Mus musculus: one gene and its partners. The protein of the gene in region 2 interacts with the protein of the main gene of each other region in a biochemical or structural test. Links are inferred from orthologs where the notes say so. Each region holds a gene or a part of one and is shown on either strand. Other genes may lie near its edges.

Region 1 (4,344 bases), on a different chromosome or scaffold from region 2:
GACTCTTCTGTCAGAGGACCTGTTGATTCCTGGGGGCTAAGTGCTGAACAAGATGGAGAGGTCCTAACCCTCACTGACCTCGAATTATATAAAGGAGACAGAAAAGAAGTCACTAGCTCCCATATGGGTAACTTAACAACTGTGATAACTGTTATAAAGGAGAGAGGCACATGGGTACAGCATGCGGAAAGGGGCGTGCAGCACTTCAAGCTTGGTTTTTCGGGACAGTTTCTCTAAGTAGCCCTGGTTGTCCTGGAACTCACTCTGTAGATCAGGCTGGCCTCGAACTCAGAAATCCGCCTGCCTCTGCCTCTCAACTGTTGGGATTAAAGGCGTATGCCACCACTGCCCAGCTGGCTTGAGTTTTGAAATATTCACAAGAATTAACCCTAAGTGTTTATCACTCAATGTTTATGAACATTTTCCGAATTTATTTATATGGGGGATTGAGCCAGACTGGAGATGAATTCAGCCTGGGATGTTCTTGCAAATCCAATTGCTAATGTCATTAATCCCTCAAGACAGTTTGATAGTGGTCGATGGTCCACACCCAGGACTGTGAGGAGTCAGGGCAGACCTTATAGTATGGTGTTCCCTAAATAAAGTTCTCTCAGGGTACAGTCCTGGTTAGAACCAGGATCCATTTACCTGGGGGTCCAATTCCCTTTGATTTGGAATATTAGCCCTCTCACATCAAACTAATTCCTGTCTCACAGTAGGCGCTTAATAAATGTTTATAAAAAGAACAAATGCAGTAGGGTACTTGTGACACAGGGCTACATGACTGTAAACTGGAGCTAAACCTGACTGAAAAATTAAAATAATTTTTAAAAATGGGTGTGAAGTGCTGGGCGGTGGTGGCGCACGCCTTCAATCCCAGCACGTGGGAGGCAGAGGCAGGAGGATTTCTGAGTTCGAGGCCAGCCTGGTCTACTGAGTGAGTTCCAGGACAGTCAGGGCTACACAGAGAAACCCTGTCTCGAACACCCCCCCCTACAAAAAAAAAGAATAAATAATAAATAAATGGATGTGAAGTATTCCAGAAGTCTGGACAAAGGCTGTGAGGAGACTCCAGCTAAATGCCTTACGGCTGCTGGTGAACTAAGATCGGGGCAGCCAAGGTACGTGCGGATCAAACTTGTCTGGCTCTAGAGATGCAGAAGCTGGAGACACGGTCCCTGGCCAGCTTAGCTGGGTCCCGCCGCGGCCTTTAAAGGCCTACCACGTGGCCGCCCGGGTGTCCAAGGTCCAGAGGCGGTGTCCACGCTGCGCCTGCGTGCTGCTAGAGCCGGTGTCCCGCCTCTGAGAACGCCAGTCCCGTAGCAAGGCAGAAAGCAGAGAGTGGGCGGAGTTAAGTCCGTATGCTAATAAAGGGGCGGAACTTGCGAGGCAAAACCGGCTCTGTCTCCCGGACCTCTAAGAGACCCGCCGCAACCCTCAGCCTCTTTCCACGAGCGCTGACGTCGACGACGACGTCCCATTTAAAAGCGGCCGCGCAGGCGCAGTGAGGGGAAATGCGAACTTAGGCTGTTACACAACTGCTGGGGTCTGTTCTCGCTGTCCGCCCGCCCGGCAGTCTGTCAGTCGCGTCGCTACCGCCGCTGCCTCCTCCACTGTCCCGGGAGTCTCGGGCCGGTGGCTGCTGTCGCCGTCTGTTCGTGCTTCTCAGGAGCTTCGTCCGCCCGTTCAGGCCGTCCCTGCCGTCCGCCTCTCTTCCCCCGCGCTGCCTCTGAGCCCGCAGCGTTCGCACGCCGGCCGACATGAGCGGGGACCATCTCCACAACGATTCCCAGGTGCGACCAGCCGGCCCCCGACTCGTCCCCAGCTGCTCGGGCCCGGGCCGGCTCCGGCCCCGGCCAGGGCCCCGGTCCCAGCCCCAGCCGGCCGCGCCGGGTTGACAGGCCCGAGTCTGCGATGAGGGGCGGCCGGTTGGAGTCGCTTGGATGGCCGGGTCCCGGGCGGAGCCGTCAAGTTGGAGTTTGGTGGGGGGATGGCAGCCCCGGGTAGGCCATTCGCGGGCCTCTGGGTTCCGGGGCGCCGGGTGGGCCCGAGCCCCGGCCCCCGGCCGCGCGCTCTCGTCCGCCGCCCCGGGGCTTCATGTGCCGGTTGTTTCATCTTCCCTCCTTTTCTTTCCTCAGATCGAAGCGGATTTCCGATTGAATGGTGAGTGTGCCCCCCGCCCCGCCCCAAGTGTCCCCACACGCCGCTGCCTGCCTCCCCCGCGCCGGGCCGGAGCCGGGCAGAGGACAGACATGGCGTCCCAGAGACTAAGTCCCGGCTCCTCGCTCACCGGCCCCATTGTTCCCATCGGGCCGCCTCTGGACCCCCTTTCCCGGGGTCTCAGCACCCCCAGATCACGGCCTTCTCCAGAGGGGGCACCGGAGACCCCGCGTCGACCGTCGCTGGGTCTCGGGCGGCCTTTCTCCGCCGGGATTCTTCCCGGGAAAGTCGCCTTGTCGACGGTCGGGACTTAGTCTCTGCGCCATTTTCTTTTTCTCTCTCCTCTCCTTTCTGTGCCTGTGTCTTTCTCTCCCTCCCTCAGCTCCTTCCTTGAGCTGTCCAGAAAGAGCTTTCTGCAGAGCAGAGCCATATAAATCACAGACCTCACCAAAGAAGGAAGGCTTAGGGACGGAATTATCTTTTATTTTTTCTTAATAGAACTTTATTTTGGAAGTTACTTGCTTTCTGCTTCATGTTTGCTTGCTTTCTTCTTCTTTTTTAATTTTTGTGATTCCAGAACGAAAGATTCCCTTAGGCAGCTAAGGGTTTTATGGGTTTTTTTTGTTTCTTTTGTTTTTTGTTTTTAGTCCTTTTATTTTTTAAATGGTGAGATGTTTATAATAGCAGTTACAGTTCTTGAAACTAAAGCCATCTTTTGTGGAGTTCTTTGTATTTTGGGATTGTTTTCCCAAGTTGTGCTGTTTGCAAAGATAACTCCCTTTAAAAAAGTTTTCAGGTTGTCTGTGTGTCATCTAGTGTGAGTGTTGGACTTGAGCATATATTCTTTAAAAAAAATTAAAAGTATTAGTGACCAGAACTTCCTATTGTGGCAAGGTAGAGTTTTTTGTTTTTTGGGTTATTTTTGAGACACAGTTTATTGTGCTTGTTCCGAAAGGTTGCTGAATTGCTCATTTAGACATGGTGTGCTGGCCTTTTCTTTGGGGTCATAGGGAGTTTTAAAAAAGATTTTATTTATTGAAGTAGAGTGGCCAGCCCTGACTCCTGTCTTCTTCCTCATTCTTCTCAGGGGCTGCTATTTTTTTCAGGAATTAAGAGTTAACTGGCTTTCCTCACATCCTTAGGCTCTTGAGCCCTTTCCAGTCATGTTTTCAAAATATTTCCACTAAAGTTACCCAGGGAAGAATGTTGGTGGGTGTCTCCCACCACCCCAGTAAGAAGCTCACATTTAATGGATTTTCCAGCAATTCCATTGTAGTATGCTGGAAATTCCCACAGATTCTTATGGGTCCGATTGTGTTCAGTTAGTTTGGGTTCTGGGGAACTGAGTGGGAGAAGCCATTGAGTAGGTTTTCTGGTGCAGCAGTCCATGGTACTGGCCTGCCCAACTGAAAGCCTTATGTTTATATTTCCAAGTTGGTCATCCAAAGAGAGATGACACTGAGTTAGAGACTCTGTCTAGGTAAAGCTTTTCTTGAGCACCTAATATATGCCAGGTACTGTGCTAGAATTGAACCTGTCACCAACCACATCTGTCTTTGTTCAACTCAGCCTATTGGGGGAGTCACATCAGTTAATTACAAGGTAGGCGTTGGAGTGTATGTGTACCCAAAATGCTTTGGGAGCATAAAGGGCTTAATTTTATCTGGGGGTGGGGAAATTTCTTGGAGGTGACTGAGCAGGGTGTTGTATAAGACTAGGTACTGAGAATTGTCAGGGGTTGGATTATTTCTTGGGAGTCCATCCTATCAGGCTTTTAAACGAGGGAGATGAGACTGTCAAGCATATAGATAAGCTTCTTTGGAAAGGGGGTAAAGAAAGGATGTGGTAGTTGTGGATGTAAAATGGTTTTGAGCTCTCTGAAGGAAGGTAGGAATTTAATATAGAAAATTTATTTGCTTTTTAGTTGGGCCTAGTATGTAATATATTTAGCAATGAAACAAAATTGAGTCCTTTTTCCTCTTAAGTTTAACTTCCATTGTTCCCATCTAAATACAAAAGAGCTATTGAATCTATGCATGATTATGGGCTGGGTATGTTATCTTTGCATTTTTATAGAGTGAATTGAACTGCCTATGTTAACTTTTAGGATGTATTTCCATTTTCCAACAATGATATTTAGTATTTATTGGGCACCTAACTGTTCAGGCTTGAATCTCATCTTAC
Region 2 (4,106 bases):
GTTAATATGGTTACCTTCCTCCTCTTCTTCCTCATCATCATCTTCGTCATCCTCTTCCTCATCATCCTCATCCTCGTCATCTTCATCCTCTTCCTCATCATCCTCCTCCTCAGCCACACTCTTGGCTTTCATAGGAACAACTTTTGCAGGAGTTTTCTTTCCTTTGGCTGTTGTGATCTCCATAACTTCTTCCTCAGAGTCTGGAAGAAAGATGGCAAATCAGGCAAATGTATTTGCTACCTACCAATCCAGACAAGATAAATGCTACAAATACTTAAAAAAAACAAAAACTACTTAGCAAATGAAAACCTATTAAGTTATGGAAAGAACTAAGAGCACAAAATGAGTTTTTAATCTAATGAAACAGTGAGGGAATGTACATGCAGTACCCTAAATATCCTAAGATCTAACTCACCATCTTCCTCCTCTTCATCATCATCTTCCTCATCATCTTCATCCTCATCATCTTCCTCATCCTCTGAGGCAGGAGCAGCAGGAGCTGCTTTTGCTGGCTTCACTCCTTTTACTATTGGTGGCTCAAACTCATCCTCTTCCTCATCATCTTCATCCTCATCGCTATCATCTTCATCCTCTTCATCTTCATCCTCATCACTGTCTTCCTTCTTGGCATTCTTACCGTTCTTAGCCCCCTTAGCTGGAGTGGCAGCTCCCTTTTTACCAGGAGTTGGTACCAACGCTTTTGCTTGTGCAGCTCCCTTCTTACCCGGTGTTGGAATGACTTTGGCTGGTGTAATGTTTTTCTTAGCTGGTGTGGCTACTGCCTTTTTGCCTGGGGTCACAGCTGCTTTCTTAGCTGGTGTGGGAACTGCAGCCTTTTTTGTTTGTGAAACAACCACCTTCTTTGCTGGGGTTGTGGTAGCCTTTTTGCCTTTTTTCTGAGGGATGACAACCTTGAAAGCAAACAAATCATAAGCATTCCTTTATACCCAATGCTACATTAAGAGACTAACTTTGAGCACAAGAAAATGGACATTAGATAGGCTTAAAAAAAAAAAAACAAACAACCAAGAACTGGAGAGATGACTCAAAAGTTAAGCACATGTGTTACTCTTGTAACATGTAACATTCACATGTGGCTTTAACTCCAGTTCCAGGGGATCCAAGTACATTCTAGTATGAGGGTACCAAGCATGCTTAATGGGTGCGCGCACACACAAAGATAAACATTAAACCCTGAAATAAGGAGACATGGCTTTCAATACTTTAAAAAAAAAAAAACTGGACTCAGCACCTGAGCTTTTCTAAGAAATCTGATTGAGCATGACCATAACAACGGTCTTGAGACAAGGTTTCACTATGTACTACTCCCTGCTTGCCTGGAACTCAAAATTCTGCCTGTTTCTGTCCCCTGTTTTGCCGACTGTCTTGCAGAAGGAAGGAAGGAAGGAAGGAAGGAAGGAAGGAAGGGAGGGAGGGAGGGAGGGAGGGAGGGAGGGAGGGAGGGAGGAAGGGGCTTGCCATTCAACCATTTACTACATATCCTGTATTTCTAAGACTTCCAGACATTCAATTCCACCGGTTTATTGCTGCAAATAGCTTCTTACCTCCTCTTCTCCACTGCTGTCATCTTCATCTTCTGACATTTCTTCATCTTCACTATCCTCTTCCACCTCCTTTGGAGGAGGAGCCATTTTCTTGGCCTCACCGTGGGTTTTGCCAGCCTACAAACGCACACAAAAATTGCACGCATTTTCAGTCACTTTGCCTTTGGCCACCACCTTTTTCTTACTAAAGGACACAAGCATAAAGACTTCTTCTTGGCCAGGCATGGCATTCTCCTGGCAGTTTTTTCTGCGAACCGCGCATAATTTTTTTTTCCTTCTCACAGATAACTGAGCAGACAGAACTCTACACCAAGAAACAGCCACAGGTTATAAAGTCTCCTAGTCGTGGCCATCTATTTTCTGGCATCTTCCACAAAAAAAAAAAAAAAAAAAAAAAAAAAACCCAGTTAAAGGGATCCCTTTAAGTTATTTGCTGGGGAAGGGGGTATCTCGAAATCACCTCTTAAAGCAGCACCACGTAACCCAACTGCTTCCCACTTTCTCTCGCTTCCAGCCCCACCACGTGGAGTCACCACGCCGCCACCTCAGGGGTCCACCACGTGTCCATCCCGGTCACCGGCAGAGACAGCAGATCGCCGGGCCACCCATCCATCCCCACGCTGCCGTCCCCCTTTCCGGGGTACTACAGACACTCCCCCACTGCCCCGGGTCGCGCGACACGTGCGGGGCTCCGCAGAGCACGTGGCGGGCCGCGCACCAGAGCACGTGCGCGGGGAGGCGGGGCCCCGGGACCGCTCGCCGCCTAAGGTTGGCCCTCTCTTCCCACGCCGTGCCCCTATCCGCTCTCAGCTCCTCCGATCTCTCCTCACACCGTCCCCTCCCGCCCGCTACATCCGAACCCTCGATATCGCCCTCCCGGAAACCTGCCTCCGCTCTTCTCATCCCCCTAAGTCAGAGGGCAAGCACCGCGAGACCTCCCGCTAGTCGCGCGAGACTTTCCCCCCCAGCATGGCGCCCTCGAACGCGCCCGGGATTGCGCGCAAGCCCTCCTCCCCTCCGCGACGGACGGGCGGGCGCGCGCGCGTCCCTCCGAAAGCAGGGGCCTAGTCGTCCGCGTCGGCGCGCCAAGGCCTCTTACCTTTGCGAGCTTCACCATGGTGGCGGATTACGGCGGCGGCGCGTGTGGAGAGCGAGCAGCTCGGAAGAGCTCAGCGGAAGCCACACGAAAGCGACTGCAGTAGCGGGTACCGACGACTCTGGAGCACGTACAACCGCCTGCCAGCTACAGCTAGCGTCTGAGGCAAAAGACTGAGCCTGCCCAGTAATCGCCTCTGGAAAGGCGACGAAGGGGGTCCTCGTGACTTCGGCTCCACCAACCAGAGCTCGCGTCCGTCCCCGGAGCCAACCGCGAGCCTTAACGCGGGGCAGCGTGAGGCGGGCCTAAGGCTTGACGAGGGCGGGGCTCTTAGGGGCGGGGCCTGACGTCTGCTCCTGAGGGCGGGACTCGTTTGGGCCCAGGCGGACGTTGACTGGTCAGTGTGCGGGTCCTTTGAATGCTCCTGAGCGCCGGGCTCTCCCCACGCCTGCGCAGTGGGACGGGCGAGTTTGGCGCGGCTTGTGTGTGAGGCGCGGGTAGGTGGCGGCGTGGCCCGGATTCCCTCAGGTGTTCCGAGGCAGCATGGGCGGCGATGCTCAGGTGGTCTGGGCGTTTCTCGGTGCTTTCCCCCGCGCCGCGTGGTCCTGCTGAAGAACGCCGGAAGGCCTAGGGTTCCCTCGGGCTGATGAGCGGGCCTCGGCCTGTTCTCCGCGGAGTCGCGAACGGCTTCTTGGCTATGATGCGAGTCCCCGCTTTCCTGAGAGCTCCTAATAAAAGCAGTTGTGCGTGTGTGTGTGTACGAGCAGTGCACAAGCGATCCATGTAATGTCGGTGACCTCTCGCGGTAGGTATAACTCCAGGTTCAGAGAGGTGACTTCCTGGTGTGGTGGGGAGAAGTACTCGGCCCGCCTGTGACCACGCTCACAGGTTCCCTCCATGGCGGGGGGAACGAGAGAGTTGTCTGGCGTTGCTTTAAATGGATTGCAACCAACTGGTTCCAAGCATAGCACACAGGCGCCCTTCATCAGCTAACAACATCCACTAGAAATGACCTGTGGAGTTTTCGTCCGGAGTTGAGATAGGACTTTATTCTTTACTGTCCTAGAGCACACATGTAGACCATGTTAGCCTCGACCTGTATCGGCACGCCTGGCCCGACCTAGGAGATGTTATTTTATGAGACAGGTTTTCTCTGTGTATTCCTGGCTGCCCTGGGACTCACGCTGTAGTCCAGGCTGGCCTTGAACTCAGAGATCCCCCTGCCTCCCTAGTGCTGTGATTAAAGTCATATGCCATCATACCTGACTTCAACCTCGGGAGATTTTAATGCGAGTGGGATGTGTTGAGTCCCCAAGTTTTTTTATCTGAACTCGGGCCTTTGGAGATAAGTAGAAATAGTCACTGTGTGATGCTTACTTACTACGGCCTTCCCAACGCGGTGGAGGGCAGCCACAGCTACACACCAGTGCGCTCTTGTCAGGGCA
Region 3 (3,620 bases), on a different chromosome or scaffold from region 2:
ACAGACATTTTCCAAAGGAAGCACAAAGCACTGGTCACTGGCGGCCTCTGGGGTGAGAAGCCAAAACCAGGGGAAGGGGGGGCTCTCACACTGTCAATCCTCCGCTGAGCCTGGCAAATGTGCCCCCATGCACAACAGTAGCAGATTATTAAAACACACCAAATAGCAGGCAGGCTCGGTAGTGATGCCAGTCATCCCAAGTACTCATAAGGTTGAGAAAGGAAGACTGTAAGTACCAGGCCAGCTACAGAGTGAGATTCTGTCATTTCAGTGTGTGTGTGTGTGTGTGTGTGTGTGTGTGTGTGTGTGTGTGTGTGTGTGTGTGTGTTTGAGACAGGGTTTCTCTGGACAACAGAGCCTTGGTTGTCCTGGACTTGTTCTGTAGGCCAGGCTGGCCTCAAACCCACAGAGATCTGCCTGCCTCTGCCTCCCGAGTGCTGAGATTAAAGGCATGAACCACCATGTCTGGCTATTTCACTTTTTAAAAGTCGGGGACTCCATACTGTAGCCCTGGCTGGCCTGGAGCTTGTTGTGTAAATAAGGCTGGCCTTGAACTCAGAGATCTGCCTGCCTCCGCTGAAATCAAAGGTGTGCACCACCACGTTCAATTTTATTTATGTTTGTTTGTTGGTTTACTGTGTTTCCGTGCCCACATGCTACAGCTCACACACAGAGGTGAGTGTCGACCTGGAAGTCAGTTTTCTTCCTCCACCATGTGGGTCCCAGGGACTGAACTCAGAGATAGGGCTTCTCTGTGTAGCCCTGGCTGTCCTGGAAATCATTCTGTAGACCAGGCTGGCTTCCAACTCAGAGATCCTCCTGTCTGTGCCTCCCGAGTGCTGGGATTAAAGGCGTGCGCCACCACCTCCCAGTACAGAAAAAAACTTTTTAAAAGATATTAGACAAAAAAAATCTTGAAAAAAGTAAGTCAAGAATGGTGACACACACTCACTATCCCCAGAGACAGGAGGATTAGGAGTTCCAAGTCAGCCTTGGACACATCACAAGTTCCAGGCTGGCCTGCACATGAGACCCTGTCTCTGAAACCCAACCAAACAACTGAAGAACACTGAGAACAGTATACAAGCCTTGAAATGTGAAAGACTGCAGAGAGTGCTGGAAAAGTAGGAGTACCATCCTCTGGGAGGGGGCCTGTGGTCCAAGCCCAGACTCCTCCAAGAGCCTGGGAACTGGCCTAGGCTGACGTTCCCTTTCCTAGTCAGAGTCAGGCCTGGCCAGAGACAACAGCATCTTATCATTGTGTCTCTGCTGGTACTGCCTCATGGAATCACTGGACCAAGGCCAGTCTGCCCTTAACACAAAGATTGAGACCCTCTTCTTCTCTAGGACAGTGAAGAGGGTGACTTGGAAGATTACCAAGTCTAACTGCCTAGAATCCCCCAGGGAGGGGCTGGGGGCGTGGCTCAGTGGTAGAGCCCCTGCCTAGAATTCCCCAGTGAGAGGTTGGGGGCGTGGCTCAGTGGTAGAGCCCCTGCCTAGAATCCCCCAGGGAGGGGCTGGGGGTGTGGCTCAGTGGTAGAGCCCCTGCCTAGAATCCCCCAGGGAGGGGCTGGGGTGTGGCTCAGTGGTAGAGCCCCTGCCTAGAATTCCCCAGGGAGGGGCTGGGGCATGGTTCAGTAGTAGAGCCCCTGCCTAGAATCCCCCAGTGAGGGGCTGGGGGCGTGGCTCAGTGGTAGAGCCCCTGCCTAGAATCCCCCAGGGAGGGGCTGGGGCATGGTTCAGTAGTAGAGCCCCTGCCTAGAATCCCCCAGTGAGGGGCTGGGGGTGTGGCTCAGTGGTAGAGCCCCTGCCTAGAATCCCCAGGGAGGGGCTGGGGTGTGGCTCAGTAGTAGAGCCCATCATCCCAGCTAGGAATATGCTTCCCCAACCTGTCAGTGTTTGTTCACACTCTATATGGGGATCTGTCCTATGCTGGCCACACACTCTGCCACACTAACAGCATCCCAGCAGCTACCCTGTGTCCTGGGCCTGTGTTCACACCCATTTCCCACCCCTGCCTTCCCAGAGGGCAGCAATGCCTATTCCTTGCTCAGCTCCCCAAGCCAGCCACACAGTATGTGCCCATGTGAGGTGAATAGATAGATGTATGTAGGTATGGGTGCATGCATGGAAGGATGGGGGTGAATAGAAAGGCAGGTGGGTAAATGTATGGAGTTATAGATGCATGAATGGATGGATACATAGCTGATGAATGAGTGGATGGGTGGGTAGATGAATATATAGGTGGATATATATATATATGTATGTGTGTGTATATATATATATATATGTATATATATATATATATATATATATAGCTGGGTGGGAGGATGAATGGAGGGATAGTTGAATGTAAGGATAAATTGATACATGGATGAGTGGATGAGTAGGCAGATGGATGGGTGGATGAAAAGATGGATAGACAGATGCCTGGTTGGTTGGCTAGATGAACTGATGAGTGGGTGGATGGATGGATGGATGGATGGATGGATGGATGGATGGATGGATGGATGTGTGGACGGATGGATAGGTAGGTAGATGGATGAAGAGTGTGGGTGGATGGATGGGTCGATAGCTAGATGGAAGAATGTGGGTGGATAGATGGACAAATGCTTTGATTTTTGTTACCACGTGGCTCCTCAAAGGATCAGCCATGAAACCGTCAGTTTCAGCCAGCCCAAGTTTCCTTAAAGCTTGTGCTCTATGCCACAGCCTATGACAGCCCAGACCCTGAAGGGGCCCATTGCCTGGAGATGAAGGAGCTAGGGTCATCCCCATATATGGACACAGGGTACCCATGCCCCTCTCTCCATCCAGTGCCCCTCTCCTGACTCATACCTCAACTTGGGCCTCATCCCAGGCATCCAGACGGACTGACTTCACCTTGCTGACCTGGGGGATGTTCCGGTGGATCCCAGAGCAGCTCAAACAGATGAACACACCCAGGGTGTAGGACGCCCAGTCAGGATCTAGAAGGGAAGGGCAGAGGTCAGGGAAGCTCACCTAGGAGTCCAGAGCACGCCCATGAGGAAAGTCAGGTCAGGAAGGTAGGACATAGAATCCAATAGAGGGCCATGACAGGGGGTGGCGGTGATAGAACTGAGGGCTTGAGCACACTGGACCAGAGCTCTACCACTGAGCCAAAGCCTAGCCACTCACCAGGGCAGCAGTTCTCAACCTGTGGGCCATGACCCCTTTAGGGGTTGAACTGGGGTCACATATCAGATATCCTATGTATGAAATATTTACTATTTATAGCCATAGCAAAATTACAGTTATGAAGCAGTAGTGAATAATTTTATAGTTGGGTGGGTCACCACAATATGAGGAATTGTATTAAAGGGTCATATCATTAAGAAGGTTGAGAACCACTGCACTAGGGCATTCTAGGCAGGGGCTCAACCACTGAGCCACGCCCCCAGCCCCTCCCTGGGGGATTCTAGGCAGGAGCTCTACCACTGAGCCACGCCCCCAGCCCCTCACTGGGGGATTCTAGGCAGGGGCTCTACCACTGTACCACACTACCAGATCTCTTTACCTTTTATTTTGAAACACAGTCTCAGTAAGCTACTGAGGATGGACTAGAACTCATTCTGTAACCCAGGAATACCCTGAACTTT

Evidence for each region.
Region 1: the proteins of Ncl (region 2) and Top1 form a complex in vitro, tested with the Homo sapiens proteins (2 studies listed by BioGRID and IntAct). The link is inferred for Mus musculus from reciprocal best matches to the Homo sapiens genes NCL and TOP1.
Region 3: the proteins of Ncl (region 2) and Adap1 form a complex in vitro, tested with the Homo sapiens proteins (2 studies listed by BioGRID). The link is inferred for Mus musculus from reciprocal best matches to the Homo sapiens genes NCL and ADAP1.

What each region holds. Positions count from the first base shown.
Region 1 is NC_000068.7:160,644,470-160,648,813, forward strand, and holds the start of Top1 (DNA topoisomerase 1), read left to right. Parts: upstream 1-1,427; 5' UTR 1,428-1,760; coding exon 1,761-1,793; intron 1,794-2,138; coding exon 2,139-2,163; intron 2,164-4,344. UniProt on the Homo sapiens protein: Releases the supercoiling and torsional tension of DNA introduced during the DNA replication and transcription by transiently cleaving and rejoining one strand of the DNA duplex.
Region 2 is NC_000067.6:86,356,542-86,360,647, forward strand, and holds the start of Ncl (nucleolin), read right to left. Parts: upstream 2,915-4,106; 5' UTR 2,683-2,914; coding exon 2,665-2,682; intron 2,475-2,664; exon of another isoform or gene 2,026-2,474; intron 1,683-2,025; coding exon 1,566-1,682; intron 912-1,565; coding exon 416-911; intron 201-415; coding exon 15-200; intron 1-14. UniProt on the Homo sapiens protein: Nucleolin is the major nucleolar protein of growing eukaryotic cells. It is found associated with intranucleolar chromatin and pre-ribosomal particles. It induces chromatin decondensation by binding to histone H1.
Region 3 is NC_000071.6:139,304,904-139,308,523, forward strand, and holds part of Adap1 (arf-GAP with dual PH domain-containing protein 1), read right to left. Parts: intron 2,970-3,620; coding exon 2,839-2,969; intron 1-2,838. UniProt on the Homo sapiens protein: GTPase-activating protein for the ADP ribosylation factor family. Binds phosphatidylinositol 3,4,5-trisphosphate (PtdInsP3) and inositol 1,3,4,5-tetrakisphosphate (InsP4). Regulates the incorporation of CD63 and CD9 into multivesicular bodies.